Mytilus edulis: one gene and its partner. The protein of the gene in region 1 purifies or fractionates together with the protein of each later gene. This does not show direct contact. Links are inferred from orthologs where the notes say so. Each region holds a gene or a part of one and is shown in the gene's direction. Other genes may lie near its edges.

The links.
Region 2: the proteins of flap endonuclease 1-like (region 1) and cell cycle checkpoint protein RAD1-like purify together in Homo sapiens (affinity purification with western blotting; 3 studies listed by BioGRID). This does not show direct contact. The link is inferred for Mytilus edulis from reciprocal best matches to the Homo sapiens genes FEN1 and RAD1.

Annotation. Positions count from the first base shown.
Region 1 is NC_092348.1:96,434,733-96,452,163, forward strand, and holds the start of flap endonuclease 1-like, read left to right. Parts: upstream 1-8,744; 5' UTR 8,745-8,815; coding exon 8,816-8,897; intron 8,898-10,583; coding exon 10,584-10,686; intron 10,687-11,703; coding exon 11,704-11,806; intron 11,807-12,389; coding exon 12,390-12,453; intron 12,454-13,007; coding exon 13,008-13,117; intron 13,118-13,760; coding exon 13,761-13,897; intron 13,898-14,392; coding exon 14,393-14,459; intron 14,460-14,711; coding exon 14,712-14,843; intron 14,844-15,612; coding exon 15,613-15,645; intron 15,646-16,002; coding exon 16,003-16,056; intron 16,057-17,431. Other genes in the region: probable ATP-dependent RNA helicase DDX27, read right to left, coding at 1,109-1,189, 2,231-2,323. UniProt on the Homo sapiens protein: Structure-specific nuclease with 5'-flap endonuclease and 5'-3' exonuclease activities involved in DNA replication and repair.
Region 2 is NC_092349.1:72,355,091-72,372,085, forward strand, and holds the start of cell cycle checkpoint protein RAD1-like, read left to right. Parts: upstream 1-9,647; 5' UTR 9,648-9,731; coding exon 9,732-9,842; intron 9,843-15,001; coding exon 15,002-15,157; intron 15,158-16,995. UniProt on the Homo sapiens protein: Component of the 9-1-1 cell-cycle checkpoint response complex that plays a major role in DNA repair. The 9-1-1 complex is recruited to DNA lesion upon damage by the RAD17-replication factor C (RFC) clamp loader complex.

The DNA of each region.
Region 1 (17,431 bases):
AAAAATTAACAATGAAGGGATATTTTTTATTACATATTTGATTTAATCAGGTAAAAAAATAGCCTATATGGAAATTTTCATCATAATTTAAATGCGGGACCAAAACTGTATCGTATGCCCTTAAAGCACAGAGAGCAAGACACACTAGATACATAAAGGCATTAAATTTGAACCCTTTCCAACCAGAAGTGTTTTGGCATATTTTTAAGTACATACCACATACATGCATCACTCTGTAGTTGCCCCAATGAAACTATACTACTGACAATATTATACATATGCATATTTTAATTCTTTACAATATAAAATTATTAATAGAAATTTTACATTTTTTTCTTATATATGGAATATCATTTGTGTACTGTAAAGTTTCAAAATTTCTGTAGACAAAAATACAACAAAAATGTCATGCATGTCTACGGTTATTGTGTGTAAGAATATATAATTAATGTACTGTGTAATCATGAAGTTAATGAGCAATGGATCTGAAAAAAGAATCACATTATATATCATGCTCATTTCATGTGGAGCTTGATAAAATCTTTCAGGAAGCTCTGAATTGTAGTTAAGTACTGTCAGATAAAAATGCAACTGATATATCATACCTGCCAACTTTTCAAAATGCCCATGGGGGTTTTAAGTGCAAGATTGCTCTTATAATCCTACAAAACCATAAAGGGGGCCTACAAATACATGTCTATGTTGTTTTTTGGCTTCTTTATACTTTTACAAGCCTACAGCTTTAAAATTTCCATTTTGGAGCCTCCATGGGGGAAATCACCTGCAAATAGTGACAGTTGGCAGGTATGATATATTGTCATGATTGTATTGGATAGAGACATTAAAAGAAGGACAGGTATACACCAGTATAGTGTCTCCTTTTATTAATGTCATTGTTAAAATACAGACAAATATTAACTTACGGTATTGTGTTTTCATGATATGTCACATACTGATATGCTATCTTACATGATTAACAAGCAACAAACTGTACAACAATACCCTAACTACCTGAGTATGTTTTATAACTGGCAAAGAATATTTTTGTAAATAATATACATGATACATGTATATAACACGACATTACAGTTAATCAGACTAAATTTACCTGATCTGTAAAGGAGAAACTTTGGTTAAAACTATTTATCTTTGATTTTTTCTTCTTTTTGACCTTTTCTCCTGCTGGAGCCTGTAAAAGAAAGTCATCAAAATTATAGTGAGAGTAATAAATCAACATGACATTGAAAGAGTTAAATGTGTACATGTTTATATGGTTTACGTGTATAATGAGAAAGTCAGATTCTACATTTTTCTAGTTACATATTCTTTAACCATTGACATATTCCAATAGTCTTTTTGTTGTATAACATCTTTGAAAATCTTCCAGCTTCTGTCCAGATGAAGAGCAGCAATAAAAGTTAAAATGGTAATAACTTATATTTAAGTACATGTATTTGTAATGATTTGAATACAGTTTTGGTCTATGAGCAGCCTCACCATTTCCATTTGTTTTCAATTTGATTGTTTTTTTGTTTTGCACAGGTTTTTTTTGTGTTAGTCAATCGTATCCCTGTCTAATGTATAGGGGATGTTTAACCCTGCCACGCTACGAATTTGCCTGTTTCATATTTTTTTTATGTTTATGGTTCTTTTCATAATCAGGCTGTTGGTTTCTCATTTGATATGTTTGAATGGTTTTAAAAATGTCAATTCATGTAATTGGGTTGCATGATAGAATCAACCAGGCAACCCCCCCAAAATATTATACATTTTTAGAATTATTCATATATATAAATATCAAATATTATTGGATGCCAAATTGACTTTAGATAGGTGCCGATTTGACTATATGCCGATTTAACCCGGTACCAATTAGAATTTTTCTATGGGTGCCGATTTGACTTGTACTCATGTAGATTTAGATGCATACATGTAATTGAAATTCCCCCCTCTCTCCCCCCCCCCCCCCTTTTTTAATGCAGTTGAATGTCAGAATTTTCAATAATTACATACTTTCAATGCAATTTAATTGAAAAGAATACAACCTGGAATATTTGAGATTAAACGAATCTTTCCCACAGATGTCATTCAAGGTTCGAAATTCAAACCACATGGCCTGTTCTGTGACAGTAATCTGATTTTTCAGATCCTGTATTGTCGTACCAGTGGATTGTGTGCATTCTAAACTTTTTATCCATACTATATCTATAAATATTTGTTCCGTAAATACCTCATCTTCGCTAGAAGAACTTTCTGGTGCTAGATGTAAAGAATCATTCTCTTCGATTGTAGCAATAAATCCAAGTTTTCGGAGTTCAGCCATATTTTTAATGCAACTGGTAAAGCCTAAGACCGAATATCTAACAAAAGAGAGCGCACCGCAACCTGTTACCTGTTACCTGTTACCTAATCTGTAAGTTCCGCCTCTGTCAGGCGCACCACCATACGGTGTAACTTGGGAGTTGCTATATACAGGGGCTCAATCACACCTTAACTACATGATTTATTATGGGCTTCATCATGAATTTTATATTAACCAGGTATATACAAATAGTAACCATAAATGGGAAGTTAATATATACTTTAATGGGAAGTTAATATATATTTTAATGGGAATTTAAATTTACTTTAAATCATGGGAAATTTAATATATAAACTTTAAGGTAAATATGTACATGACTCCACTCCTGGCTTATTCATACTTCTACTTGCACAGTTCAAAACAGTTCTTCACATGGAATTAATCACAGTTTCAAGATTATTGTCAATTGAATAATGATGATAACTAGGTTATTTGAAGTAGCGAAGCTCTTCTTTGATGTAGTCTATAACAATAACCTCTAGATACACATTCAATATTAGAGATGTTGGATTCGTCTAGGAATTCAAAGGATGAACAGTCAATAATAACTTTGAGTTGTAAGTCTTCTGATGATAATATTTCATTATACACTTCCATATCAACACAGTCATATAACTTTACTAGTATAATATTTAGGAAATGTTCCTGTATGTCTCTCAATTTTTCACAATATAGAAGGAAATGTTTAATGTCCTCACTTCCTTTGCCACATAATTTACATGCTGAATTAGTTCCACCAGATCTGTCGAACTTAGCTCTGTCATGCTGTAAGGTATAAGTTCCACACATGATTTTTGCTTTTATGCTGGCCATAGTTGAAGTAAACGGCTCTGTTCCACAGCTATCCCAGACATTGTGGGTTTTTCCTTGAGTGATATTATTGACATTTAAAAACTTTAGAGATGACTTTGATTTTACAGCAGATTTTAGAAGATCAATCCAATACGAAGAGATAGATTTTCTTACAATATTTTTCCACTCGATTTTCCCCGGAGGCACATTAATAAGATCATGTGGTGATGGTAAGCCATACTGTTCTGTTAAGTCAATAATTTTGACAAACCAACTATTTGAATCCCTTGGCATTACAGCCAGTTGTCTTATAGCAACATCACGCTCGACAGAACCATGGTTTCTGATGATATTTCCGAAAAAATTCAGCATACGCTTATGCAATTCAGCCTCAACTGGAATTTGACCGAGAAGTAAGTAGACAGCACTAGTGGAAGTGCGCTCTGGCAAATGCTGGATCTGCTTTAAAAGCTTGGTGTAATATACGGAGAGTAATTTCATATCGGAGACAGAAAGTATTATGGAGTCTAATCCATACAAAAGTCTGGGTAGCACATAAATTTTCACCAGGTGCATAGAGACTTTAGGGTTAAGTCCATTCAAACCATGGAGCCCAGCTCCCATGAGGGCATACACTGTTTTCCTAGCTGTCTGAATTCTATTAGGTACACAATCTTTCACACCATATTTAGAATTGACATCATGATCTATACCAAGATGAGTCGCTTTAACAGAATTTTGAAGAGGTTGACCATTCAGTGTAAATAAATGTTCAGTTTTACTTCCATATTGTAGAGTACATGACTTCTGGCTACTAATTATGTAGCGATGTTTATTTATATAATCAGACAAGACATTTAACATTGTTTGCATCTCATACGGGTTGTTGGAAATCAGAGTAACATCGTCGGCAACAGTGGGTATTCCACAGTAAATAGAACCCAAGTGAGCACCAAGACCATTCATTTCAAATGGTTTCAGTAGTGTGTTTATGAAAACCTTATAGGCAGTGGGGGACCAAACTCCACCCTGGCGAACACCCTGGAATTCGTGAACTGGTTTTGATTTGATACTTTGCCACATTACAGAGGACTCCAAGTTCTTATACCACTCATTGAATAGTAACCAATTGTCACCGGTCATTCCACCTTTATACATCTCTCTCATTAGCCCAGAGTGCCACACAATATCAAAAGCTTTTTGAGCATCACTAAACGTTATAATTAATTGTTTTTTTAATTTTTTTTTAACACAAAATTGACTATTGACTAATCTATTGTTCATTGGCACTTTGACTGCAAATACCCCAAGAAATCGATTCCAAATGAGATTACTATAACGCAATACATAAAGATATATATGCCTTGTTAATCGAAGATGAACACTATGACAAACTAATCAATGCCAGCTATCGCTTCCTATATATATTTGACTAAGGCAGCAACCATTTGATTTTCTAGGGGGGGGGGGGGGCTATGGTTTTTTTTGGAAAAAAAAGTTTGTTTCCTGCTTTTGGAGAAAATAATAAATTTGTTTTTGACCCTGAGAAATATTTTTTTTGTTTCACCCTCAGCTGCCACTATATGTAATCATGTAATGTCCAGGAAAAAAATCCATATCCCCCCCCCCCCGAAAATCAAATGGTTGCTGCCTAAATCCATTGGATGTTGGGTGTGTAATGATTAATATTTTAGTCTTAAACATATTGTGTTTTATTAGTTTTTATTGACATTGAACTAGCGTTCAGTAACTGCGACACCAAGTACACTCATATAATGTTCAAGTTCAAGCTATAACAGTTTAATCTGTATATTGTAAATATCAAAGTAAAGCATTACATATGTCTTCATTTAAATGCCATAATTTTGAACTCATGCATTTTCATATATTTGTTTAGTATTGTTTAGTATACAATCTGTCGATACCTGTATCTTGGCATTGCACAAGGTCATGTTTTTCTATGACTGTTTGTGATGTCTTTACACTGAATCCATTGGATGTTGGATGTGTGCGGATTGAAAATTATGTCTTAGATGCATGCTTTTTTTATTAGTTGTTAGTGGCTTTGAACTAGCTGTCCGATAACTGCGAGTACTCTCAGATCTGTTCCTAGTGTCTTTTGTTGGTGGGATGTACAAGTACCCGGCCACGTCCACTGTATTTTTGTCCATCTGATGAGTTAAGCCTTTTTCAACTAATTTTATAGTTCGTTCTTATGTTGTACTGTTATACCACTGTCCCAAGTTAGGGGGAGTTTTCGGATCCCGCTAACATGTTTAACCCCGCCACATTATATTACCTACGCTGTATTTGGCAAAACGTTTAGGAATTTTGGTCATGCTCTTCAACTTCGTACTTTATTTGACATTTTGAACTTTTTGGGATTCGAGCGTCACTGATGAGTCTCTTGTAGACGAAACGCGCGTATGGCGTATATTCTAAATACAGTCCTGGTATCTATGATGATATACATGTATATGTATATATGTGCCTGTCCCAAGTCAGGAGCCTGTAATTCAGTGGTTGTCGAATTGTTTTACATTGTCATTTCGGAGCTTTTTATGAGGTGACTATGCGGTATTGGCTTGATGATATAAGTGTTTAACGACATTGACTGGTTTTTCAGCCCTCGCACGGTCGGTAATGTCTTTGTTCATTGTTAAAGGCCGTACGGTGACCTATAGTAGTTAATTTCTGTGTCATTTTGATCTCTTGTGGACAGTTGTCTCATTGGCAAACGAGAAAACTAACGGCCTTATATATATATATGTTTTGGTAGTTTGCAAGTTACATGTATATGCTATTTGCTTAAAGTTAATTTTTGGTGCTGCTTTTTATTATTTATTGCATGCTGCATGCCTTATTTTATTTGTTATTGCATATGTTTTTATATTCGGTGAAAAACTCATTAGAGCTTATGTTTGTATTGTTTGTCAATATGCCGAATCCAAATAAAGTTTTACTTACTTACTTACTTACTTATGTACAAAAAATGAACGAAAAACAAATATGTAACACATAAACAAACGACAACCACTGAATTACAGGCTCTTGACTTGGAACAGGCACATACATAAATAATATGGCGGGGTTAAACATGTTAGCGGGATCCGAACCCTCCCCCTAACCTGGGACAGTGGTATAACAGTACAACATAAGAACGAACTATAAAAATCAGTTGAAAAAGGCTTAACTCATCAGATGGACAAAAATACAAGTGGACGTGGCCGGGTACTTATACATCCAGACACAAAAAGACACAATGTACAGATCTGAGAGTACTCGCAGTTATCGGACAGCTAGTTCAAAGCCACTAACAACTAATAAAAAAATCATGCATCTTCTTTTTTATATCTAAGACTAAGCTATCAATCCGTACACATCCAACATCCAATGGATTTAGTGTAAAGACGTCATAAACAGCTAGAGAAAAACATGACCTTGTGCAATGTCAAGTTACAGGTATTGACAGATTGCAGATTCTTGAATATGAATATGTATATGTATATAAAAGAGGGACGAAAGATACCAAAGGGACAGTCAAACTCATAAATCTAAAACAAACTGACAACGCCATGGCTAAAAATAAAAAAGACAAACAGAAAAACAATAGTACACACGACACAACATAGAAAACTAAAGAATAAACAACACGAACCCCACCAAAAACTAGGGGTAACATACTAGTAATATTTAGTTAGCTTTTAATTTTCTGATAACAAAATCAATATTTATACCAATAAAAACAATATTCAATGATCTTATTACAGTGTTGAATAGGTAACCTTTTAGAATAAGTTTATTTAAAGGAGCGACAAGTTTACATGGATCATTTCTAAATTTCCGGGCACGGTTAACAACACTGATTTCCGTAAAAATGAGGATGTGCAAACTTCAAAACCAAATCTTTATATTTATGGAAAAATTTAGTAAAGGTTTTAAGTAATTTATGGTAACGATATCCCGGGTTTAATAATTTACCAGTAATACATAGATTGCGTTCGTTAATATAAAAAACGTCACAATATAAATGGGCATAGCGAACGAGCTGTGAAATATAAACACCGTAAGATGGTGTCAAAGGAACATCACATCTTAGAATGGAAAATTAACAATAGATTTTTCTTGTCGTAAATTTTAGTGTGGAGTTTCCCGTTTAAAACCGAAATATCTAAATCCAGCAAAGGACAGATATTACCGTATACATTTAATTTATTCAAAGTAAGTTCCTTGGGGTAAATTTCAGCTGTATATTGAGAACATTCTTGATTATTAACTCTTTTAGATAAACAGCTGCTGTTTTATGGAATAGTTTACCTGATGATTTTAGAGAATTGCTTATTTTAGCCAATTTAAATATGTTTTAAAGGGTCCTACTAAAAAAGCGCCCGGGAGCGCCCGAGTAAAGACAAAGCGCCCGGGGAAAAGAAAAAAGCGCCCGGGGAAAATATATAGATTTTTTATTGGTATGAGACAACTTTGTGCCGATGAAATAAGTAATGCACATTGTTCTTTTTTTAAATTTTTGACAAGTATTTTGCAAATTCAAATAATAGACATTTGAAATAAAACAATTTTAACAATACTATAATTTTTTATGAATACTATTTCGAAAGACAGGTAATAATGGATCATTGTATGCTAAAAATTTATAAAATGTTAGACATCAAAATACATGTTTTGCAAAAACGATATCAAAATGAAAAATGCAAAAACACAGATAAATATTGTAAAAGTGCAACAACACTTTAGATGTAGCATCGTAGGTATCCCCTTTTATATTAAGGACAAAACAAGCAATGATTATTTTTTTATTCAGGAAAACATTTTTTATTATAAAATATTATTATTTTATTCTCCCGGGCGCTTTTTTTCTTTCCCGGACGCTTTTTCTTTTCCCGGGCGCTTCCGGGCGCTTTTTAGTAGGAAGTCATGGAATGGAAATGGCTGTAATTGCACAGTTTGTGCAGATTTTTATTTAATATATGATGCTAAAATTATTTACCATTTAGACATGTTAGATCGGCATACCCTATTTGGGGATATTGTATGCTGCCGTTTATTTTACCAGCATTTAATGATGCCTAGTTTACACTTATATGCTTTTAGCTTTAATACCTAGCTTTTTATGCTTATATTCTGCTTATTATTAATATACATGTTTTTAGTGCTTCATTTTGTGCTGTCACGGTAATTTATTGCCTGTGTGTGTTGTATTGATATAAATGTCTTGTATGTCGGTTAAAATATAAAAAAAGAAGAGACTGTATGTTGCAAATGAGCTCATAAGAGCTCATTAGAGCTTATGTTGTCTCTGCTTGTATACTTTGCCGACTCTAAATAAAGCTTATTTATTATTAATTATTTATGCAGAACGTTGTGTTGTTATATTTTGATAAACTTTTTGTTGGTCAACAGATATACTGTACAAATTTCCAGCAATATCATTTTAGCCAAAAAATCGAATATATTTCTTCATTCAAAATTGTTTTATTTTTATCAAATAATTATACTGCATTCCCATGTTGAATATAAAAGAATCAGACAACAAGTTTTAACATTGGTTTTTATTCGTAAATATTTAGAAAGAACTGGTTCCCGTAAATCATTGTTTTTGTTTATTTGGCGGGAAAGCTGCTAACTCATCACTTATTTTTAATCATGGGAATTTTAGGATTGACAAAATTGCTTGGTGATCATGCTCCTGGCTGTATGAAAGAACAAGAGATAAAGAATTATTTTGGTGCGATTCATTTAAAAAAAGTATTAACTATTTGTTGACCAGAGACCAGTGTTGTTGAGCTAGATTTAATTGCCCCCTCCCCTTAAATCTATTTATTTTCAATCTGCCATATACCTTATCGCTTTTTATTCCAATCCAGGTAAGATCTCAAATTATACAACATTTTCATATAGGTGGAACTATCTGGAGCCATGTTTAAGCAATATGTAAAGCATCTACATCTACATTTACATTGTTAATATGCAAGGCAGTGTCTCTGCTTACTTGAGAGGGGTACGAATAGTCAAATTGCCATTTGTAAGCTTCGCGTTCCTACATCCGGTTTTATAATAGAATGCCATCAAAATGGGAATGAAACGTGAAATATAAATGGAAATCCCCATACTATCGATAGTTTCCGTATATATTTCATGTTTCATTCCCAATCCAATGCCATTTTATTATAAAACCAGATTCGGGTAATCGTAGCCTATATACGGCAATTTGACTATTTGTGGGTATGCGCAGACTGCAAAAAGACTAAGGGTCTAAGACCCACCACCCAAGTACTAATTAATTCATTCAATATGGTGCTCATTAAAAACATGCAGGTCTGTTCACAATACGTTTTATCCGTTATACATCCAGTAGAAGTCAGATGGGGAATGAGTGCACCAGACCTTTAACGGATGAATAATGGACAGGTGAGGGATTCAAAACTGGCACAGAACGGACGAGTACCGTGTAAAACGGACACCTGCAGGATGTACATCGGACACTGCATCAGTTGAACATTCTCAAAATTTTCCAAAAAAGAGGATGGACATCAATGGATAAAATGGACCTTGAACAGACATGGAACGGAAATGAACAATAATGAACAGACATCGTAACAGATAAAAAACGGATGTCTAATTGATATGAACGGTTTGAAAGAACGTTATTGGTTCGGCGACTGTTCACGCTCTCCGTTAAGGTGTGACCTGGACTTAATGCAAATACTTTTCAAATAGGCAGTCACAATAAATTATAAACACTTCAAGCAAATAAAATTTAGAATGGAAATGGAGATTTAACAAAGACTTTGAATGATTTTAAGAAGACTTTGAATGGCGAGAATTGGAACCCGTATAAATTTATATGTTTATGTTAATTGTTGAGCTGTGCACACCTGAATAAGTTCTATTTTTATAAATATAAGATATATTAATATATTATAATGTGATCATTTTCGATGAGAAATTGCATTGCTACATTCCAAGATCAGGGGTCAGTAGAAGCCATTGGCTTATTTTAAGGACCCGAAGATATAGGTATAAAGGTATAAAGCAGTCTGGCTTTAGCTGGCGTCTTTTTATATGCTCATTAAGGGGACATTATGGTATACCATTGTCCGTCAGTCCCTCCGTCGCCAACATGTCAAACATTAACTCCAAAACGCTCTAACCAATTTTGACAGTTCTTTAAATGTGCAATAATTTTTGTAATGCCTTTAAGATCAAGTTAATTTGGAATAAACAGAATGGCTTTATATTGCTATCAGCTCTTTGTTTATCAAAACATGGAATTTTTGTCACGTCTCTTCACTTGTAGATGTTAACACAGTACATGTTTTTGTTTTATTTTAAAATATACTTCATGTTTTTACCTGCAATAGCTCTTTGGAAAGTTATTTCATCTAACTCTGAACACCTGTTTGTTTTGTAGGAAGAAAAGTTGCTATTGATGCCTCCATGTGTATCTACCAGTTTCTTATAGCTGTCCGACAAGATGGCAGCCAGTTGATGAATGAAGATGGTGAAACAACAAGGTTAGTTTCTATAGATGGAAATAAATTTTAAATATTATTCCTTAATAAGGGTATTCATGCCTACGGAATTGAATCAAAACTTAAATTGGACTCCGGGTGCTGGAGTTTCTTGCTGCATCATGTGCATTGAAGACCCATTTGTGGCCTTCTGCAGTTTTCTGCTCTATGGTTGGGTTGTTGTCTGAGACTCTCTTTGACACATTCCCCATTTCCATTCTCAATTTTATTCTATACTACTAAAGGAAGTGACCGATTTACTGGAGCTGCTACTCCATCAAAACCATACAAAATCGGAAATATTTGTAGGCATGATATGTAGTGTTTTGTACTTTCTAAATTTGTCATTGAAACAATACTTTTTTCCACAGAAAATGACAACTCTTGAGAAATATTAAAAAATCGGAGACTGTTATCCATCTGTGTCTTATAAGCTTTTGCGCATGACAGTTGACATACACCCAGGGAAATTTAAATCTCTTTGTTTCAACACTTGCCAAATTGTACCACGATTTTGCGGACATCTTCTAGTAGTAGTGTGTGTTTTATCACATGAGTTGTGAATCTCCTTACAAAAGCTGTCATATTTACAATTGTGAACATTAGGATGTACATGTGTATCAGGCAATCAATTTCTTTGTTTTTGATACAAGTTCAATTGATTTTTCTCATTATGAATTAAAAACATACACTACAGCTCAGGTGGAGTTTGCTTTGTCCATCCGTCCACAGTGGACATCAGATAAGCATTTGTTATCAATATTTTTACAAAAACAGTGATTATAGCTGGAGTGGGCACGGGTGGGCTTCCCATTGTGGGCAGGTGGAAAAAACAAAATCCACACTGGTTGTTGTGTAGATGAAACAATTTATTAGTTGTTTTCAGGATGATAAATATTTGTGAGTAAATTTCAAAATTTGCCTTAATCATTGTTAATTTAAAAAAAGAATGAAAATTCAGGCTACAATTTCTCAGATTTTATATAAAAAATATTAGAATATGTTTTTTTTCAATTACAGTCATCTGATGGGTATGTTCTACAGGTCAATCAGAATGTTAGAACATGGCATAAAACCTGTCTATGTATTTGATGGCAAACCTCCAGACATGAAGTCAGGGGAGGTTAGTCAGTATAATATTTATATATTTGATATTGTTTATTTATAAGTTATGACATTTAAATTAAGAGAGAATTCATTGTTTACGAAATAAAATTTTGCAAAAATATGCATTGGATAGATACCAAGTTTTACAATTATTTATAATAAGAATTGTTTGGTATGATTGCCAATGAAACAACTCTCCACAATTTACCAAATGTCGAAATGACATAGAAATGAAGAAATATGGGTCACTGTATCACCTTCAACAATGAGCATATCTCATTCTTAATTCTTTTGATATATATGGAAGTAGAAATTACAAGAGGCCAGGGTACGCCCATGCTTAAAGGAAAACACTATTTTTTTATGTGAATTGTAAAAAGTAAAGTAAATTATATTTAAGAATTCAAAAATCAAAAACACAATTTGCTTTGCAAACTGTTAAAAACCGCATGATGAGCTGTTGTTTTCCTTGGTCTTTGGTGTATAGTTGTCTCATTAACATTACTTTATATATACATAGTTCTGTGTAAAGTACTAATCTTAAATTATACTACTGAAGCTTATACCTTGTTAAAATGTATATGCATGTTGCTTTACAGTTAGAAAAGAGGAAAGAAAGAAGAGAGGAAGCACAGAAAGCATTAGAGAAAGCAGAGGAAGCAGGTAATACTAGTTAAATCTAAGTAATATAATCACAAAAAGTTTCATAGAATGTAAAAACTTAGAGAAAAATATTATAAGTATCATTAATGTAGCAAACCAGTTTTTCTTTTAAGATCATTGTTGTATTCCTTCATTAATACACACCAATCTAACATTGTTTTTAGTTTGTACTAGTTACAATAAGTCCTTTGCTTTGAGATATATTTTTAATAATTGTCATTTTATAGTTGTTGAAAATTGTGAAAGAATAATATTTTTCTTTCATCAGTTCTATTTGACTACATTTGTTATTTTTGTATATATATATGCATGATGTAAACATTATGTTGAGGGTCCAGCTGAACCTCACCTCCAGGTGCAGGATTTTTGCTGTGTTAAAGACCCATGGTTGGCCTTGGGCTGTTTTCTGACGTTTGGTTGAGTTGTTGTCTCTGTGACACATTCCTAATTTCCATTCTCAATTTCTTTAACTTTATAATTATATTTGTTTAAAAAAAAGACTTCTTTATATGTAAATCAATTATTCATTTAACAAAGGTTAATACAATTTACAGGAGATGAAGAAAACATAGAAAAATTCAATCGTCGTCTGGTGAAAGTTTCAAAGCAGCATAATGAAGAATGTAAAGAACTGTTGAAGTTGATGGGAGTCCCATTTATAGAGGTAGAGTTAATATAAGATCAATGTAAATACTATATAGAGAGATAAGTCCTGCATTATTTGCATATAAGTTATAAAAGTGTTTATAATTGACAGCTCTAAAGTACTTTGTGATCAGATTATTCGAATTAATCAATTGGAACTTTCCAGCAGATACCCAACACTATTTTAAAGAATAATTTGGTAATCATCAGAAACTTTAAAATAAATATCTGTATCTTATTTTTCAACCTTTATTTACAACTTCCATCTCACATAGTATTTGTTTGTCATTGAAGATCCCCCAAAAAGGTTATATAATCATTAGAAAAGACCGGAGCAAACTCAGAATGTATATGATCTAACAAATAGGGAGAAACTAAAAAATTACAGCTTGATTTATTATAGAAGTTTGTTTATACTGACAGTATATACTTAGATCATATATTTGAAGAGATCAGCTTAGATTCCAATATACCCGGTATATGGGTTGTTTTCTAAACCCTATTCCCTGACTAGATGGAAAACCAACAAATCCCCATGACCTAAAACAAAGAAATAAAATATGAGCATAGTTTGTCTATGATAGTAATTGTTCTGATGTGACTTTCAATGTTATTTATGACAATCTTATGAAGTATTGTCTAAGATAATAATTGTATTGTAGGCTCCTGGTGAAGCTGAAGCCCAGTGTGCTGTGTTAGTTAAAGCTGGTAAAGTATACGCTACTGGTACTGAAGATATGGATGCTCTTACGTTTGGAACCAGTGTACAGCTGAGAAATCTAACAGTTGCTGAAGCAAGGTACTCTTCATAAATTGTTTTTGTCATACATATCCGTCCTTTTAGGGCAAATATTAAGTCAATCTTGACAATAACATTATAATAACATAAAAAAAATGTGCTCAAAGATAGTTGGGTTTAACAATTATCTACATTGATCAGACATGACACCATTAATTATATTTTATTTTATTTACCATTAATAACACTGATTTGTTTTGTGTTGTATAATAAAGAGACAAACATGGAGAATGGAAATAGAGTTGACCTTGTAAAAGTGTATGAGCACCAGGCATCAAATGACATGCCCACAATACATGATAAACTTTAATTATTTTAAATGACTTATATAAATTTGAATTTTATATTTTTAGCCAGGGTAACGGATATTTAGTGGTTTGTTATTGTAATTGCAGATAACATTTTCTTATGGCGTCAGAATAAGGTCTAATTGCTTGTAATATTTTCATTTGTTTTCATTAGTACATTTATCTACATGTTATATCTATATTTCAGAAAATTACCTATAAAAGAATTTCATTATCAGAAACTTTTGGAAGAATTAGGAATGAATAAAGATGAGGTATTTAAAATATTTGGTGGATTTTATATTTTATGTATAAATATTTTATTTAAAAATAATTTCATTGCATTGTAATGCTGAGCATTCAGATATGTCTGACAACTGCTAGAGTAAAGTAGTCTCTTTGTTTGGTCATTGAAATTTTCATTCACTAGAGAATTGAATATTAAATTTATATTTTCTTGTAGCTGAGAGTTTTTCATGTCTTCTAAATGTTCACGTTGTTTAATTGCTTGAAATTTTTAATTTCAGTTTATTGATCTATGTATTTTACTTGGTTGTGACTATTGTGAATCCATCAGAGGAATTGGACCAAAGAGGGCATATGATTTAGTCAAACAGCATCATAGTATTGAAGAAATCCTAAAACATCTAGACAGCAAGGTAACATGGCCAAAATAACAACTAATATAAAAAAAGAAGATGTGGTATGATTGACAATGAGACAACTCTCCACAAGAGACCAAAATGACATAGATATTAACAAGTTTTTGTTAGTCGTATACTGAAACCTCAGAAAACAAATTATAAATTACACTAACAAAGTTTCAGCTTTTTAAGTATAAAAGTTGTTACTCCCAAGATGCTACATCAGATAAAATCTTTTCTATTAGAATTCTAAAATTCTAAAGGTCAAGGTCAATAATCATGTGTAAGATAAATAAAGTTTGGTATGTTGAAAAATTATATTAGAAAAGAAAAAAATATCAAAATGTGTTTTTCTATTGGAAAATAAAATTTGATGATTATGAACAATTTGGTGTTATCTTTCTCTTTGTTAAAATATTGGAGGCAAAAAAGTTACTGCTTTACCTGCTTGCCAAGTTTGATTTTCATTCTTGCTACAATTTTATTTACAGTAATGCCACTTGATTTATCTCAAAATTGAACAAAAGTTTCATGAAAATAGCATTATGTTTGGTATATGTAAGGAACTGACTTTTTTGTGGTATGATGAGGTTAGAGAGATGCACTTGAATTGTTTCAAATTGATGAAATGGTGTCTTGAGATGATTAATTTAATTTGGTATGAAATGAGATCTTATAGGCTTAATTTGTCTTCCTTTTCAATATGTGTACATTTTTGTAGCATCTGTTAGCTGTACATATTTTTAAATTGTCCTTTAAGCATATCGTTTATTTTACTTTACAGAAATACACAGTACCAGAAGATTGGATGTTCAAGGTATGTTATAGCTTCAAACCACCTTTACCTTAATGATTTTATCATTCAATTCTAATAATAAGGACATATGATTTGCCATTTGTGACTTAAAACAAATATACATAAAAGTAAATCACATAATTTGCATATGCCCAGATTCATTTGTCTATACCAGTTTTTATGGGGAAAAAAGTAGTTCTACAAGATTTAGCTTTTTCAGAGATTTTCAACTTTAAACCTAAAATTGCTTCCCAAATAAAATCAAATACATTTTTGTGTGTCCATAAGAAATTATCAGAATGAATTTTAGTTAGATTTTTAATGCACATATTAAAGTAGTCCTTATTTTGATTATAATCATAAGCTTTAACTTTGCAGGAGGCAAGACGTTTGTTTCAGGAACCTGAAGTTACAGACCCAGAGACATTAGATGTAAGTACCATATAACTTTAAACCATTGGACACTGTCGTTCACACGTTCTGTGTTTATGATAAATGTATTATTTGTGGGCTTTGCCATGATTAATGTTGTTACAATAGCTGTAGTTGGGAAAGGAAAACATCATTCCTCCTTATTTAAGGGTATATGATACAGTTTTGATCCCATATTTGAATTTTGATGAAAATTTGCATGCAGGCTATTTTTTACCTGATTAAATGAAATATGTAATAAAAAATATACCTTCATGTGCTTCTTTTTGAGTAAATTGAGGTTCAAATTTCAGATATTTCCTCAAAATATGGATTTGTGAACGTATTTTTCCTTTTGATAGAAATACATAACTTTTTTGTTTTAAAAGATAAACACAAGCTGTTTTTTGCTAAATTATTTGTGATTTATGTGTTATATAAATATTGCATAAATTTGAACATTTTTTTTTTACAAATAACTCAAATTTATCAAATGTTCATGAATATAGAAAAAACGTCATTTTTTGCTGTATATTATTTAAATTTAAAAAATAATGTGCTATTTAACTTTTCATGAAAATTGGTACACATAATCTTCTTATGTAATCAAACCAAATGTCATTTTAAAAAAGAGGGGTCCATGAACTCGTTTTCAAGTTAAATCAGTTTGAACGATTAAAATCAGCCGAAAACTGCATCTTTTCCCGATAAGTCAATGTTTGACGTCGCGAAAAATAACAATTTACGTTAGCAACGCCATTACCTCCCCTGTAACTGTAACATATGCCCTTAATATGTATCTGACAAAGATGGATGGTATTTAAACAATATGGAATCTAACATCCTTGTGTAGGAATATCAATGTAAGCTAGGATTGACCAGTAACTCCTGTTTTAATGACCTGGAAGAACTAATTATTTTAGGACTGCTTAAAAACATGGGATTGTCCAAATGACTGAAGTTAAGCTCTATGCCTTATTTTCTGAACTTAGTTTTGGAAAAGTAGAATTTAAAAACATCTTGTGACTCATCTTGCAAACAGTTATTTAAACTTTGATACATTCGATGACATCAACAAAAGATAATTCTGATAACAATACAGCACTTAGTTGACAAGTTTCCAAGATTTTGATTTCACAAAATAGATAGGGTTGGTTGAATCCATGCAACAAAGCAATATAGGTAATTAGTTTGATTTAATTTTAAAGTTAATCAACAAATCTGACCTTAGAGGGAAGAAAATTAAAATAATTAGGAGATAACTGTACTGTATTTTAAGCTCCGACGGCATCAATTGGGGATTTGATGTTCGCAAATTAAGTTTACTGGCGACGCGTTAGCAGAGACAGTAAACAGGTATTTGCGACCATCAAATCCCCGATTGATGCCGTCGGAG
Region 2 (16,995 bases), on another chromosome or scaffold:
GCCACATCCATTTTTGTCAATCTTATAATACCAGCTCTCACTTAATGGAAGTTTGGAAAAGTCATCTGCGCAATACAATATCACATCTTTGTCGGTTTGAAAGCAATATCTGAAAATGTCCAAGTCAAATTGTATTACGGTAGTAAGTAAGTAAGTAAGTAAATTATTTATTATAGTGACATGTGTTTTTCACAAAATATTATATAATACAGTGAGATATAAAAACAATAATTAGAACACCCGACCCTTTGGGTCTATAAGTCACTTTAAACATAAATTTCAATGGTACGACGAACAAAAATAAATAAAATGTTATCGAAAATTTTCATATAAAAAGTTTTTTCTCTTACTGAAAGCTTGCAATAGGTAGTATCCCTTCTGTCGTTGGGTCTAACCCGATCTTGAACTGCATCCTCGAATGTATTGGCTGCTGAGAGTAAACGGTGATGGTCAATTCTCTGTGGAAAATACTCGGGAGAGAATGTTGATCAATGTTGGACTTGGATTTCCAGGTTGTCTCAGTATTTGGACGGCCATGCCATTTTACAAGATACAATACACCCCAAAAGAGAAACACAGACGTCAGGTATTAATTTTCTTTATTATTTTGCACATTTATAATCAGACCATTTAGTTTTTTTGTTTGAACTGTTTTACAATTGTCATTTGGGGGGCATTTTGTAGCTTACCTTTGGGTATGGTTTTTGCTCATTGTTGAAGGGTTTACGGTGACTGACCTGTACCTCATTTGTACTCTTGGGGAGAGTTGTCCAATTGGCAATGATACATGTGTGCAACTCTTTTCAAACGACCTTGTATATCCAATGATTTGCGCCTGATATTTTAAGATACAAGTATACGATTGCACCAATTCCAAAATAAAATTTTAGTTGATTAAGCCCAGTGGCGGATCCAGAACATTTCCTAAGGGGGGCCCGCTGACTGACCTAAGAGGGGGCCCGCTCCAGTCATGCTTCAATGATTCCCTATATAATCAACCAAATTTTTCCCACGCCCCCCCCCCCTTGGATCCGCCTATGTAAGGGACTGATCATGACTGTCGTTTCGTTTCAATCTGTGCCGTAATCCCGAGAATGTATGAAAAAAGTCACAGGAAAAAAAGTCACGGAAAAAAAGTCACGGAAAAAAAGTCACAGGAAAAAAAGTCACAGGAAAAAAGTCACAATTTATATTTTGTATGAAAACTGTCATATGATCTGCACTTAAATATTGGTAATGACTTTTGTCTGTGTGTGGTTTTTTTCTGCTGTTCATGTGCAAGTATGGTTTTGTGTTTTTTGTACCCCATATCCTTTTGTTTTATTATAAAATTTAGAATGTAAATAGGGAATGTGCCAAAGAGACAACAACCCGACCATAGAACAGACAACAGCAGACGTTCACCAACAGGTTTCTATAGCTGTGTTTTTACCAATATCATGAGAATCCTTCAATTACATGTTAAACAAACAAAGCATCCCCATTAACAATAATTATGTAATTACAACATTTATTGACAGTGACTGTTGAGATTAATTAGTGGCTTCTTGTGGCACCTTTCCCTTTTTTGTAGACCTTTCACTTCCTCTTTTGGAAGGAAGCCCTACCCATGAAAAACAACTAGGGCTTATCATGAATGAAAAGGAAACAAATGGCTTATCCTGTTTGTTTAAGAGTTTGTTTTGAAAAAGAGAACATAAATTATTACACTTTTACCATTATCATTTTTTTTAGTGTATTTCTTTTTTTTTTAAATGATGAAAAGAATATATTTTTTTATTTTATTAAGCCATAAATAAAACGAAATCTGTTAATATCGATGTGCGCTTTAACTATATAAATTTTAAAAGCTCTAATTTAAAAATAATTGATCTGATACACTTTTACAAGAAGTATTATTTTTATTTAACAAAACTGCAATTTTTTTAATTATTTATTTCATACAGCTGATATACAAAATCACTTTTGTCATGTGCATTCCAACATACTTCTTAAAATACATTTTATATACTTCTTTCAAATAATTTTATTAATTGTGACTTTTTTTCTGTGACTTTTTTTCTTGAGACTTTTTTTCCTGTGACTTTTTTTCCTAGAGGTTTTGTGACTTTTTTTCCTGTGACTTTTTTTCCGTTGACCAATCCTGACAGTGTTCACTAGGCGAAGTTAAAGTAACAGCAATATAACGGGTAATGAGTTTATAAGTAACTTGGCGTAAATGAGGCCTGTGATATATCGTCAGTAATATCATTTTCTACAAAGTATTATTAAAAGAAAAATACGTATAATGAATGACTGCAATGAGCAAGCAGACAATACAAATCGACAAAATATAAATTATTATTAATTTTATCATAACTTACTTTTTTTGGTGTCGATTTCTTAACAATAATTCTTTCAATTTTCAACGTCTCCTGTAAATCAACCCTGAGTGGTGCTGATTCATGGCTGGAAAACGTCGAGAACTCTTCAAAACTCACTTTTTGTTCTCCGCTCTTTTCGATATTTGACATTGTTGCAATCAGTTATAATTAACAGTTCTATGTGTAGTAATAGTCTCAGCTTAGTATTTTTATTGATTATTCAGACGATTACCCGTGCTCAAAACTTTATTTTGAATGCAGAAAGTCATTTTTATACTTTGAAATATATATTACCGAGAAGAGGATATAACTCTATATTATGTCACAGGAAATACTTATCTGATGCCAGTATTTGACCAAAGACGGCCACTCTTGTTTATTGTCACTGGTGTCAACCTTTCACAGTATCAAGCTATATACAGCCACAGGGTAAACGGACAGAAAGACACAGGACAAAAAGTCACAGGAGTAGTAGGGACGGTTCAGTTTGAGGCACCCCCAAAACACAGGGCGCTAGGGCGCTGACGTCATATGCGCATGCCCCGCCCCCAATATGATATATGGGCATATACTAGCCCTAATGACGTCAGTGTAAGTAAGGAAGATGAGTCATACCGAATGCACGCCGTCCATATTTGGTCATGACGAGGTGCGACCATGAATCATCAGGATGCAAGATCAGGGCATGACTCACTACATGATAATACGGGCTATATATCAAAACGGAAGCACCTGATGTCGGATTATGACTCTTGGACCACCATATGATGAATCCCATATATGGAAAGCGACCACAATACCCTATGACCATATATGGAAATTATGACCAAATTTGGTAAAAAAACTTATTTTCACTCAAAAATCGAAATAAAATACATGATCATATATGGAAATCGACAAAACAACCTATGACCATATATGGAAATCATGACCAAATTTGGTAAAAAAACTTATTTTCACTCAAAAATCAAAATAAAATACACGATCATATATGGAAACCGACCAGATACCCTATGACCATATATGGAAATTATGACCAAATTTGGTAAAAACTTTATTTTCACTCAAACATCAAAATAAAACACATGTCCATATATGGACAACAGGTCACGTGATCGTATCGAGGAACGTTAACTCTGGTACAAAACAAGGGAAGCAACTCTGTATATATATCTCTCTCTTGGATTGACAATTCAACGTTCGAGGCAAGGTCACATGATCATATCGAAGAACTCTGGTACAAAAAAGGGAGGCAACTCTTCAAGGTGTGAACGTCAATCACCGATTAATCGTATCGTGTTCGGGGCAAATAGAAAAAAAAATACCAACGCAGATGTCAGTTTCATATACATTTATTACATTCATTCGTACAATGCAAGCAGTTTGTCGTCGTTACTCATCAAGTCACTAGGGGAAAAATCTTTCACAATGTCTTCCATGCTAATGTTTCTATATCTCATCTTCACGAAATGTACACAATAGAGTCCGCACGTATCGGATGATCCCGGTTGCACTTGAGTCGTACTGAATCTGTATTGAGGTCCATTGGCGATGAGCACGTTCCTGAAGCGACGATGATAATACTCCGGAGAACGTCCGAGTGAATCGAAGAATTCTGCCGGTCCCGTGGATGGAAAGTGAAACGCCACCCAATGCTTCCCCGGTCCATCGCAGGTATCCGTGTTGACGACATAGGTCATCGGTCGGTGCGAGATGTCTGCGGGTAACTCTTCGGCACAACGTACGTCCACCGGTAACCCTTCCAACGCTTCTTCTAGTTCTGCGTCGCTCATGGGAAGTATGTCTTCGTCCGTGTCGTATTCGGAGGTATCCTCGCTGCTGTCGAGCCTCCTCGCCTTGGAGATCCTTTCCTCCTCCTCCCTGCTGCACGCATGCTCCTCCAGTCCGCGGCGGTGTACAAAGACCAGTCCGCATTCTTCGCAGGCGATCAGATCGTTCGTGGTCGTTTCTTCCGTTTGGGTCGTCTCCTCCTCCTCTCCCGCCCCCGTCAGGACGTTCGTGCGCAGTCTCTCCGTCTCGGGGGTCTCCGGTTTGACGTCGACAAGGAGATAACCGTGTCGTCTTCTCGTGGCCTCGTCGAATTGTCGCAGGAAATGTTCGGATCGACCCGGGTACATCTGTCGTGCCAGGGTGGCCACGGGCTGTCGATCGATCGGATTGTCAAAGAGGACCATGTAATGACAGTTTCTTCTCTGGGTGGGGTCCTTTCCAAAATACAGGTTCTGGTAGATGGCGATCACGGAAAGATTTCGATGGTGACTTCCTTCGGTGAAGAGATCGTTGATGCGGGTGTCTTTGCTGGCGAGGGTCATCAGATCGTCCAGGACCACCATGTTGCGCACTCTCGGATCGAAGAAGTCGTCACTCTCCAGGTCGGCGGGGATGCCTCTCACAAACTCCACCGGCGGGTGCACGCCGTCTCGTACGACGTCGTAGAGGGGTTGCCACCTCTTGTACAGCCAGACGATTCTCTGCGGTGCCGGTGCCGCAAGACGTCGGACCCGAAACGATCATAGTAAACGGGTGTCAAAACAGGAACGGACCGGACGGCGGTTGTTCTACCACCGCAGGCACGGGCGGCGGCGGCAGCTGTTCTACCACCGCAGACACGGGCGGCGGCGGCGGCGGGGCGGCGGGGCGGCGGCGGTATTGTTCAAAACTTTATAAGAAGGAGAGAACACGGGCTTCATCTAATCATGGACGAGTTTTATTTATTCGTCAATAGCGGAGACTCGCTCGATCTCTTTCCCGAGAATAGGGGAGGTCAGTTCTCAGTACGTTTACCTCGATCACACTTAACGAATGGAACGTGGGAGTGTGCCCTATTGGAAATGACGTTCGTGCCTACTTTCGAAATACCCACGCGCAGGGTCTACCTATGTTCCGACGTGGTGAGGGAAGAATCGTACGTCAGAGACACGTATTTACCACTACTTCAATCCGTAGCAGTGCGACGGGACGAGACGATGGAAGTCGTCTTCGAGAGACCACTCTACCGCACGACGAGAGGAGGCGAGGTGACACTATTGGAAATCACCGTCAGAGACGATAGATTACGAGTGTGCCGATTCAAGGACGATCACGTATTCTGCTTGCTGCATTTTAGAAAAAAGTTATAAGAGGATAGCGGATTCGATTTCGAAGTACATGTATAAACATGGAATGTCCTACCTGCCATAGACGGTTTTCCAGGAGAGATGTCATGTTGAGACATTATCGCAATCAGCATGGTAATGGGGATACGCCGCCGCCGCCGCCGCCCGTGTCTGCGGTGGTAGAACAGCCGCCGCCCGTGCCTGCGGTGGTAGAACAACCGCCGTCCGGTCCGTTCCTGTTTCGACACCCGTTTACTATGATCGTTTCGGGTCCGACGTCTTGCGGCAAGACGCATTTCGTGGCGAAAGTCCTCCGAGAAGCGGAAGCGATGTGCGAACCGGCACCGCAGAGAATCGTCTGGCTGTACAAGAGGTGGCAACCCCTCTACGACGTCGTACGAGACGGCGTGCACCCGCCGGTGGAGTTTGTGAGAGGCATCCCCGCCGACCTGGAGAGCGACGACTTCTTCGATCCGAGAGTGCGCAACATGGTGGTCCTGGACGATCTGATGACCCTCGCCAGCAAAGACACCCGCATCAACGATCTCTTCACCGAAGGAAGTCACCATCGAAATCTTTCCGTGATCGCCATCTACCAGAACCTGTATTTTGGAAAGGACCCCACACAGAGAAGAAACTGTCATTACATGGTCCTCTTTGACAATCCGATCGATCGACAGCCCGTGGCCACCCTGGCACGACAGATGTACCCGGGTCGATCCGAACATTTCCTGCGACAATTCGACGAGGCCACGAGAAGACGACACGGTTATCTCCTTGTCGACGTCAAACCGGAGACCCCCGAGACGGAGAGACTGCGCACGAACGTCCTGACGGGGGCGGGAGAGGAGGAGGAGACGACCCAAACGGAAGAAACGACCACGAACGATCTGATCGCCTGCGAAGAATGCGGACTGGTCTTTGTACACCGCCGCGGACTGGAGGAGCATGCGTGCAGCAGGGAGGAGGAGGAAAGGATCTCCAAGGCGAGGAGGCTCGACAGCAGCGAGGATACCTCCGAATACGACACGGACGAAGACATACTTCCCATGAGCGACGCAGAACTAGAAGAAGCGTTGGAAGGGTTACCGGTGGACGTACGTTGTGCCGAAGAGTTACCCGCAGACATCTCGCACCGACCGATGACCTATGTCGTCAACACGGATACCTGCGATGGACCGGGGAAGCATTGGGTGGCGTTTCACTTTCCATCCACGGGACCGGCAGAATTCTTCGATTCACTCGGACGTTCTCCGGAGTATTATCATCGCGCTTCAGGAACGTGCTCATCGCCAATGGACCTCAATACAGATTCAGTACGACTCAAGTGCAACCGGGATCATCCGATACGTGCGGACTCTATTGTGTACATTTCGTGAAGATGAGATATAGAAACATTAGCATGGAAGACATTGTGAAAGATTTTTCCCCTAGTGACTTGATGAGTAACGACGACAAACTGCTTGCATTGTACGAATGAATGTAGTAAATGTATATGAAACTGACATCTGCGTTGGTATTTTTTTTTCTATTTGCCCCGAACACGATACGATTAATCGGTGATTGACGTTCACACCTTGAAGAGTTGCCTCCCTTTTTTGTACCAGAGTTCTTCGATATGATCATGTGACCTTGCCTCGAACGTTGAATTGTCAATCCAAGAGAGAGAGATATATATACAGAGTTGCTTCCCTTGTTTTGTACCAGAGTTAACGTTCCTCGATACGATCACGTGACCTGTTGTCCATATATGGACATGTGTTTTATTTTGATGTTTGAGTGAAAATAAAGTTTTTACCAAATTTGGTCATAATTTCCATATATGGTCATAGGGTATCTGGTCGGTTTCCATATATGATCGTGTATTTTATTTTGATTTTTGAGTGAAAATAAGTTTTTTTACCAAATTTGGTCATGATTTCCATATATGGTCATAGGTTGTTTTGTCGATTTCCATATATGATCATGTATTTTATTTCGATTTTTGAGTGAAAATAAGTTTTTTTACCAAATTTGGTCATAATTTCCATATATGGTCATAGGGTATTGTGGTCGCTTTCCATATATGGGATTCATCATATGGTGGTCCAAGAGTCATAATCCGACATCAGGTGCTTCCGTTTTGATATATAGCCCGTATTATCATGTAGTGAGTCATGCCCTGATCTTGCATCCTGATGATTCATGGTCGCACCGCGTCATGACCAAATATGGACGGCGTGCATTCGGTATGACTCATCTTCCTTACTTACACTGACGTCATTAGGGCTAGTATATGCCCATATATCATATTGGGGGCGGGGCATGCGCATATGACGTCAGCGCCCTAGCGCCCTGTGTTTTGGGGGTGCCTAAAACTGAACCGTCCCTACTACTCACAGGACATAAAGTCACAAATTTGGTAGGACAAAAAGTCACAAATAATTTGTTGACAATTGTTTGAATATATAATAGAAATATCTTGAAATATTTACTTTTTAATACATATATTCAAATTAAAGTTTAGGAATTGTGTCATTATGCTTGAAAAATCAAGATTCATTTAATTTTAATCATGCAAATGATATATTTTTTGGCACCATGAAGCCATTTAAGTGCCAAGTCACTTTGACATTTTGTTTTTTTTTAACAATTATTTGATTATCTTTGATATATTTTTGATTAATTTTGTTTACAAAGTTGGTATATATATACAACAGTTCAAGAAAAATACAAAAATATTTTTGTAGAAATAAGCTTTTTTTCTTTAAAGAAAATAATCAGAAAAAATGAATTGTGACTTTTTGTCCGGTGACTTTTTGTCCGTGACTTTTTGTCTGTGACTTTCTGTCCTACATTCCGCCACAGTAATCCCTACGTGTGACTTCCGTTAACTAACGAAATTAAGTAGGAACACGGAGTTATAATTTCATTATACATGTAATATCTTCAATAGAATACTTCCATGCTCACACTAAGCAGAACATTCTTACAATGATGCCAAGGTTATATAATTTGTCTCTATATTTGCAAATTAGTACAGTTGCACATATCCCAATGACAGTAACATATATTTACCATACCTTATAATGTTATAATCACAAAAGCGCTTAGACTTATGCATGCACAGACTTTTTTGAAGAGATATCTGAATGCTAATCGTAAAAAAAACCTAGCCAACTTAAGATAATATAAAAAACAGCTATATCAAAACATTCAAAATCAGAACACTGTTATTTCAGTATTAATAGTTTTCCCTCCTCTTTGTTTTTTATAAAAAAAACACCATTTGAACTCCCAGGGGTGGATCCAGCCATTTTAAAAAGGGGGTGGGTTCCCAACCCATGATAAAGGGGGGTCCAACTATACGTCCCCATTCAAATGCATTGATCGTCCAAAAAAGGGGGGGTTCCAACCCCCAGGACCCCCCTCTGGATCCTCCACTGACTACCTTATAACACAATACTCAAAAGATGAAACCAAACAACATGCACAATTACAAGGATAAATATATCCAAATATTTTCAAGTATTCGCATAGAAAAAAATAAACCCTGCCCGCCGGTATAACGTTCTAGTGTAGTCTTCTATATATACGCCGTATGATTGGGTGAACCAAAAAAATGGAGTGGAGAAGGTTTGTAACGTAAATCAATAGGTTAAACTGTTTCAAAAGATCGTACGAAATTTTAAAGGATTGATATACCGGGGCGGACCCAGCAATTTTGAAAGGGAGTTCCCTTCTCAGGACAAGAAGAGGGGGGGGGGGGTATAGTTTCCATTGATCGTCAAAAAATTGGGTCACAACTCCCGGAATCCCCCTCCTGGATCTGTCACTGTATGGACAAGCGGTGTATAGAAGCAGAGACGTATGAGACATATAATACATGTATTAATTATATATGTCTCTGATTGAAGACTTTAGAAATTAGAATAAATTTAAAAGTATAATTTGTACAACTATATCCCGTATTCTGAGATGACTATATACTGTGTTACATGTATATATAGTAGTCTCAGTCCTATTCAAACATTTTTTAACAACTTTTTCCCTTTTTAACAAAATTACTCGTCTAATTATGTGTTCTTGTTTATCAACATAGAATTCCAGTCTATTTTCTTAAAATAAAGGGTTTTGTGATCAGGTGATCAAATCTTTCCTTTACTCGCAAATTTTACACTCTCCTTGAATGAAGGAAAATAAATTCAATTGAAAATGGCGGGGAAAACAAAAAAATGATTTTTCTGACAATTTTAACCAAATTTATCTGACTATGGCACTTTCAACGCAACAGCCTGAAAATGATGATAGATATGTACTTTTAGCTAAAATAGACAATGCGAGAAATGTATCGAACATTCTGAAAGCCATTCATTTTAAAGAGGTAAATGAGAGATCAAAGTTAACTGTGAAACACAAACAACACACAGTCACAGATAGTCACTTCGGCATGTGGTCAAATCCGTCGGTTTAAGCTCATTAGAGCTTATTTTATGTCCTATCAAATTTTCGACTTTCTGCCTGTGACTTTCTGTCTGTTTAGTAGTAGTGTTTACTTAATGAAAGTCCCTGGTGCTACATTGACTATACATGTAAATGTAGCCTTTTGTAGGTGCTGATTTGACCAGGTGTCGATTTGACTTTTCATTAGCCATTAGGTGCTGAATAAACGTATTTACACTTTGGGTACTCAGCTGTAAAATTTGTGCTCAATTGACCTTAGATCTACTCTGAATCAATGTAAAGAAGTAACATCAAACATTTAATCGGTACTATTCTCAGGGAAAATATACTACTTCATATTTTCTTTACACAACAAACTCATTGGAAAATAGTAAAATTTCCCCTCAAATCGGTTAAATGTGTGATGTAACTTCTTTATGTTGCTCTTAATCATGTTTAAAATTGACTGAGTACCAAGATGTCGAAAAATAATATAAACTGGAGTCAAAAGTCGGTAATATAAAAATAGTCTATTAACATTGAGAAATCCATCAGTTGTGTGGCCACTGAACATAAAGGAAGCTCAGAAATCTTTCCCATTTTTAAAAATAAAGTATAAAGAATATCATGAACATGATGAATATTGTTGGAATGTTAAAAAAAATTTTCTTTTTCTGAGACATTTATATACCTTTAATACCAATTTATACATGTTATAAGTTGAAAGTGTCTAGCAACTCATGTTAGTTGTTGATATGCTTACAGTCACACAGTGGCATTAAAAATGTTTTAATAAAAATTAATTTTAAATCTGTTCCTTTACATCAGTGATTATTGATAATTACAACAATACACATTACAGTGTACATGTAAATGTATATGGACCATAATTTGGTATTCGGCCTTTGGTTTCTTTTTGTATCCTTTTTTATAAGTTCTAAAACTTTAACTTTTATTCTGTGGGTTGTGTTGGTGTTAGAATAGTATTAATGGAACAATTGAGTTTTTCAAGAAAAAAATAATACATTTTGATTCACCGTTTACGTGACAGGAAACCAAACAGGAAACCAATCTTTATTTTCTTTATTTTGCACAATATATTTCAAAAGACATAAATGAACACCATTAATAGTGTTACTTGCTTCATGTTAATATTTGAAATCTATTTTCAATGTTAAATTAAAGTTTTTTTAAACGCGACAGGAACAATGAGGAAACCAAAAGAAACCGAAAGCATTTCTTTAGTTTTATTTTATTGCAAAATCTGCTTAAAATAATCTGAACAGTAAACTTTTTCTTAAAATCCATCTTAAATGTAACAGTATTATAAAACTCCTAAATATGTGCTTGTTTTGAAAACAATTAGTACAATTTATTCAGAAATTTCCATATTTTCTTCATTGATACAGGATACCATAATCGTTGTATCTTGATGTTTTAGCCAAAAAAATGTATTTATATTTGGTTTTGAAATTCCAGTTATATACAATTAATTCCAAATCATTGGCAATGTAAAATTCTTTAAATCCAGTAAAGAAAAAAACTCTAACTTGGAATTAAAATCTTTAAAATAGGCACCATGTGATATTTGTGACCTGTACACCATCTACATGGTTTCCACATTTTAACCTACTTTAGTGGGCTAAAATCAATAAAGTACTTCCTTTCAAGTCATGCATGGTAAAAGTTTACTTCTCCTTTGACAAGTTTATTGCGTTTCTGAAAAGTGTTTGCAGAACATGAATAAAAAAAAATAATTAAAAATTGTGACAAAGATACCAACTTTGTACATTCCAAGTGTAACGGTATATTAACATGTATTTTTTATTAAATTATCTTTATTCACCTAAAATATCCATTAATATTTACTGCTGAAACAAAATCAATCTAACGAGCATCGGCACAATGATAAGAGACGTAATGTCTATTGAATTTTCAAAGGACCCTTTACATCGTTATCAGGAAACAAAGTGTGTTATAATGTCTGTCAAATCTGAAATCGATTTTGTCAAGTCATTGGGCATTTATTTTCACACAATATCGTATGTAACATTATGCACATAGGAAAAATAATAGACCCCCGGCGCAATCTCTTTGAAAATTGTATTTTCCTTTTTTAAACAAGACGAAACAAGTCTACAGATTATGTTTGCTAACATCCCGTTGGAAACAAAAACAATGTTTAGACCTAGTATTTCATACATCCGGCCGTAAGGGCGTGATCACATGTAAGTCACATGTTTCACGTATGACCGGAAATGATTAGAACTTAACGACAAAAACAATTTTAATAAAAAAAGGAAATAACTGGACTTCTGTTTCGTTTGAAATGTAACGCATAACGATAACGACATTTTCTTACTTAATTATTACGAAGAACAAAACTAGAATGTAAATCATCTCTGATTTACCTGTTTGAACATCTCGCGAGAGTTCATATTTGGCTACATATCTGCTCTGTGCCCATTTTGCTGTGACAACCATTGAAAATTAAAAACTAAGCCAAAAACATCAGTATCAGTCATTTTTTAATAGCTATGGGTTGTATTTATTCAAAAAATATCATCCATGGATAAGATAATGTCTCATCATTAATTTCTGCATAGTTCAATAGGTCTTGCACGTTATTTAATGTAACATGGACAGACATGTTCTTATTCAAGGTTCCAAAGAGTTTTATTAATTTAAAGTGAGTAATTGTGAACTGTTATCATGTAAGAGCAATGTGTCATTCATAAAAAAAATCATAAACCATTCAAAACAGTGAATTTTGCTACCTTAAAGGTGTAGAATCGCATAAAATTTAATTGAAAAAAATCATCAAGCATTAAAGTTATCTTAAAAATACTTTCAGACTTGCAGAAGTATTGTTTCTTTCCTAATATTGACAGATCTACATATGTAGCATAATATATATGAGCAAAAAGGCAACTGATATGAACAGAAAAAATAACTGAAGGCAGTAAAATATCAATGGTTCATCAGCCAGTCTCATGTAACATGGACAGACGTCAGTTAAAACTTGTCAACCATTTAATTATTAGGGCATATAATGTCTAATTTTTATATGATTGTCTTTCAATAAAGAAAACAAACAAAAAAAAACTTTGCATTGCAATCCCATAATTAATAGAACAATGTACAATGTCGGAACCTTGACACCTTTAGATACAAATGGATTCTGTCGCAGTTTTTTAGCCTTTAATCGTGACAATTCATTAATGTTTTATATTTTTAAACAAGATTACACATTTTAGTTTTAATTCAATTTATTGATATTCTAATAATGATTAGTCATTGCATTGCAGTTCACAGGTCAATCTTCTTTGGCCCTTTCTTGAAATCATTGCCTGCAAAGAAATTTTGAAAAAAAATGTTTTGAAAAAGACCTGTTATACAGTAAAATATGAAATAAAGAAATAGCAGCCTGTTTTATTAATTTATGTTATTAGCAATAAAGTTAAACCAGAGTTTAAGAATCATTTACCAGAATATATTTTAAAACTACAAACTACATCTGTGCTTTTATTTTTTCAATGGTGGCCAACATTTAAAGAACACAAGCATAAACTCACTTGCATAAATATCCATTGAAAAGGCATGTTTACCTTATGGAAGCAATATGACAATTTTGCACATTTTATATGTTTATAATCATCACATAATCAGTGTAATAAGTGTAATAAGTCTTGATTAGAGATAGCTTCAAGATTTGTTCATTATCTGGATTTGCTCGGTTTAGCTGCAAGATTTCTTCATTATCTGGACTTAATCAGTTTGCTGGGGTTCGTGTTGCTTATTCTTTAGTTTTCTATGTTGTGTTATATGTACTGTTGTTTGTCTTTTTCTTTTTAAGCCATGGCGTTGTCAGTTTTTTTCGATTTATGACTTTGACTGTCCCTCTTTTACAGTTATTTGTATACTACTGACAAAGTCAAAAATTTGCATATTGTTAGAAAGAATTCTATTACAACAAAGCAGATTACATCATCTAAAATTTGCGTTACGAAATTGGAAACCAAAGTAACGCTAGTGTTCTTACACCTGTTACAGAAATACTTATAGTTCTCGGCATTTTCTTCTGACTATTCTTATTGGTCGATGTTCTTTATTATTTGAAAGCAAAAGTTACGAATGCCGGTGACGATTATCTATAAATCAGTCAGCGTTATGCACTTCGGAAGCGAAAAGTAACGCGAGAAACGACACAAAAATACGGTCATATAATCTTTAAAATTTGTTAATTTCAATTTTTTTTCTAGGGAAGAGTAGCATACACTTGTATGTTGATAAAAATAATGGCATCTTTAGATGTAGTTACAACTTTTCTTACAGTAATACACGTTTTTATCACTTTTCTATAGTTATAGGAAACGAGCCCAATAGCAAATTATGGTCCATATACAGTACACGTAGTATATCAACATTAGTAAGAATCAGAGCCAACAACAATATATATCATGTATATTGTAAATGCAGAATACAATAATAAAATTATATTATATGCATTCATTGTATATGTAAACATGATAAATTTATGCAATAATAAAGCAGCCATTAAAATTCCACTCAACAACAGGTCTTTCTAGAGGATGAAGCAAGTGTAGAGAGAAACATGCATGTGCACCTCATTTTAGCCTGTTGTACAAAATGTAGATCAGCATTGAAAATACTGTACTTGTGCAGGTGCAGGGACAAACCCCACCACCCCCTATTTCAAAGAAATTTCAGAAGTCTAAATTACTATGATTACACCCTAAGAGGACTAAAGTGTTTTGCCCTGTATAAAGCTTAAGTCTGGCTTTCCCATGCTTCTTTTAAATTATAATCAGGATAATATTAGAACCTTCTATTTTATGTTTAAGTTTTAAAAAGTTCTACGATTGTATGCTTAAGAATTTGAATGTTTGAAAGTTGGAGAATAAGAAAGAAAAGTGAATTGTCACAACAACCAAACAATAATTGTAGTCAGAAAAGTTGTATTTTTAACAAATTTGAATGAATAACTGGGATTATTTAAAGTTATTTCATAAAGTACTACATGTAAGAAATCAAAAAGTAAGTCATATATCATACATGTATTTGGTTTCTTTTTTTCAGTCAGCAACAGTGTTTGCCAGTTCTATGGGATTTAAGGTGACAGTTGAAGATTCTAAGTGTGTACAGGCCAATGCCTTTATTCAGGAAGCTCTGTTCCACGAATTTGTGATGAAAGAAGACCAGATCACCTTTAAAATCAATCTAACAGTGCTACTGGTTTGTATTTATACATGTATTAATACAGTACTACCCGTGACATTGTCTTAAGGATGTCGACCATAAAATTTATGGTGGCCATGGTCTACCTTTATGTTGATCAAATGTTCACCTTCTGTTTGTTTAATACACAACGTAATTATCGGATTAAATGTCCCCAGTCATGCAAGCTTACTGGAATGTGCCAATTGTACCAGGTGATTATTCAAATACATGTAGTAATAATAGGTGAGCCATCGCTGGTAAATCTTAATAACATGTATGTTCAAGGTGTCACAGTTGGTGCGTTTGATAGAATTCTGCATGAGCTGTTATCATAAGGCCTAAATTAAAATATTGTTTGTTTGCCCTTTTCCGACCATATGTTTTGAAACAGGGTAGGTAGGTAGGTAAAATATTTTATTTTTTTCCCAAAAAAAATAATTTGGCTCGGTATATTTTTTGTCATGGGTAGGCAGGTAGGTATAATATTTTATTTTATATTGCAAAAAAATAAGAAACCCTGACGGGTTAAAATGCAAACATAGTACATTGTATACACAAGTGACAAGAAACATAATATACAAAATCTGCATAATGTCATTTTTGTCTGTTTTGCTTTTGCTAATAAGTTGATGGGACTAGTAGTATAATAGTCCCAGGAAGTTTTGAAAAAAAAATATCATGTAGAATGTGAAGTTAATTCATATGCAAGACGACTTTGTTTTCAAATATCAAAATTTAGAGCTGTGCCGCATATTTTCAACGTGTATATGCCTGGAGCTTTGAAGAGTTTTAACTTGCACTAATATTCTGTACTACGTACCTTGTACGCTGACCTCTACCTAAAGGTTTTCTGTATATTATAAGCGATTACTTAGTCCTGGTAAAATATGTCCGGGCAGAGATACATTACTAGTAGAAAAAGTCCCTAGAGTGTTTAAATTTTGTGTGTGTCTGGGTTTCCAATAAAAATGCTACAAGACTTGAACTCAATTCTGAATCTGAATAAGTACGTTGCAGGGCCAGTATATATGGCATCAGTGGCAACGGGAGAGAGGCGCTGGAAAATTAATCCAACATTGTGAGAGCCACCGAAGTTTAAAGCTCTCAATTGTCTTAGCACACACGAGATTGTCTGGTAGTCTATTCCATTCGGGTACATATTCTACATCCGCAATTTATAAATGATCTGTTTGGAAAACTTGGGAGCTTTTACTGCCAAATATTCTCCACTTTACAGGCTTTTGCCACCTTTGGTTCATGTCAGATATAAATAATACAGCAATGCTGGTCGAAGGCATCTTTAACATAATCATCCTGATCTACGGATCACAAAAGGCCATCCCTACTGTACATAGAATACAACGTCCGTTTACAAAAAAGTTTGTACACACGTTGATAATTTTGTATAATTTAAACGAAATTTTTTGTAAGTGAACCCTGCTCTCCAAGTATAAAGATACAGAGTAACGTACGTCATATCCAGCTGCGAAAACGTAGCTCTATTGTCCTTTGATTTTTTTTTTTGCCATAGATCTATGGTCCGCAAATATCAAAAATCATCAAAAGGACCTTAAGAGCTACGTTTTCGCAGCTAACGTCATATCATCATGTTTTCTCAAAGCGTTCAACATCGATTTCAAACAAATGCTTTGAAACTCTATATGCAAGTGTTCATGTCAAACGCTCACGAGATACCAAACGGACTAGACCTTATACGGTAAAGATAAAACCCGAGGATTCCGGTAAAAAAGTTTTGACCGGGAAATACAAATATAAGATTTTTGGTAGGAACGAAAAGATAAAATAAAATCTTGCTGGTAAATACAAATAAAAGATTTTCAGGCGGAACGAAT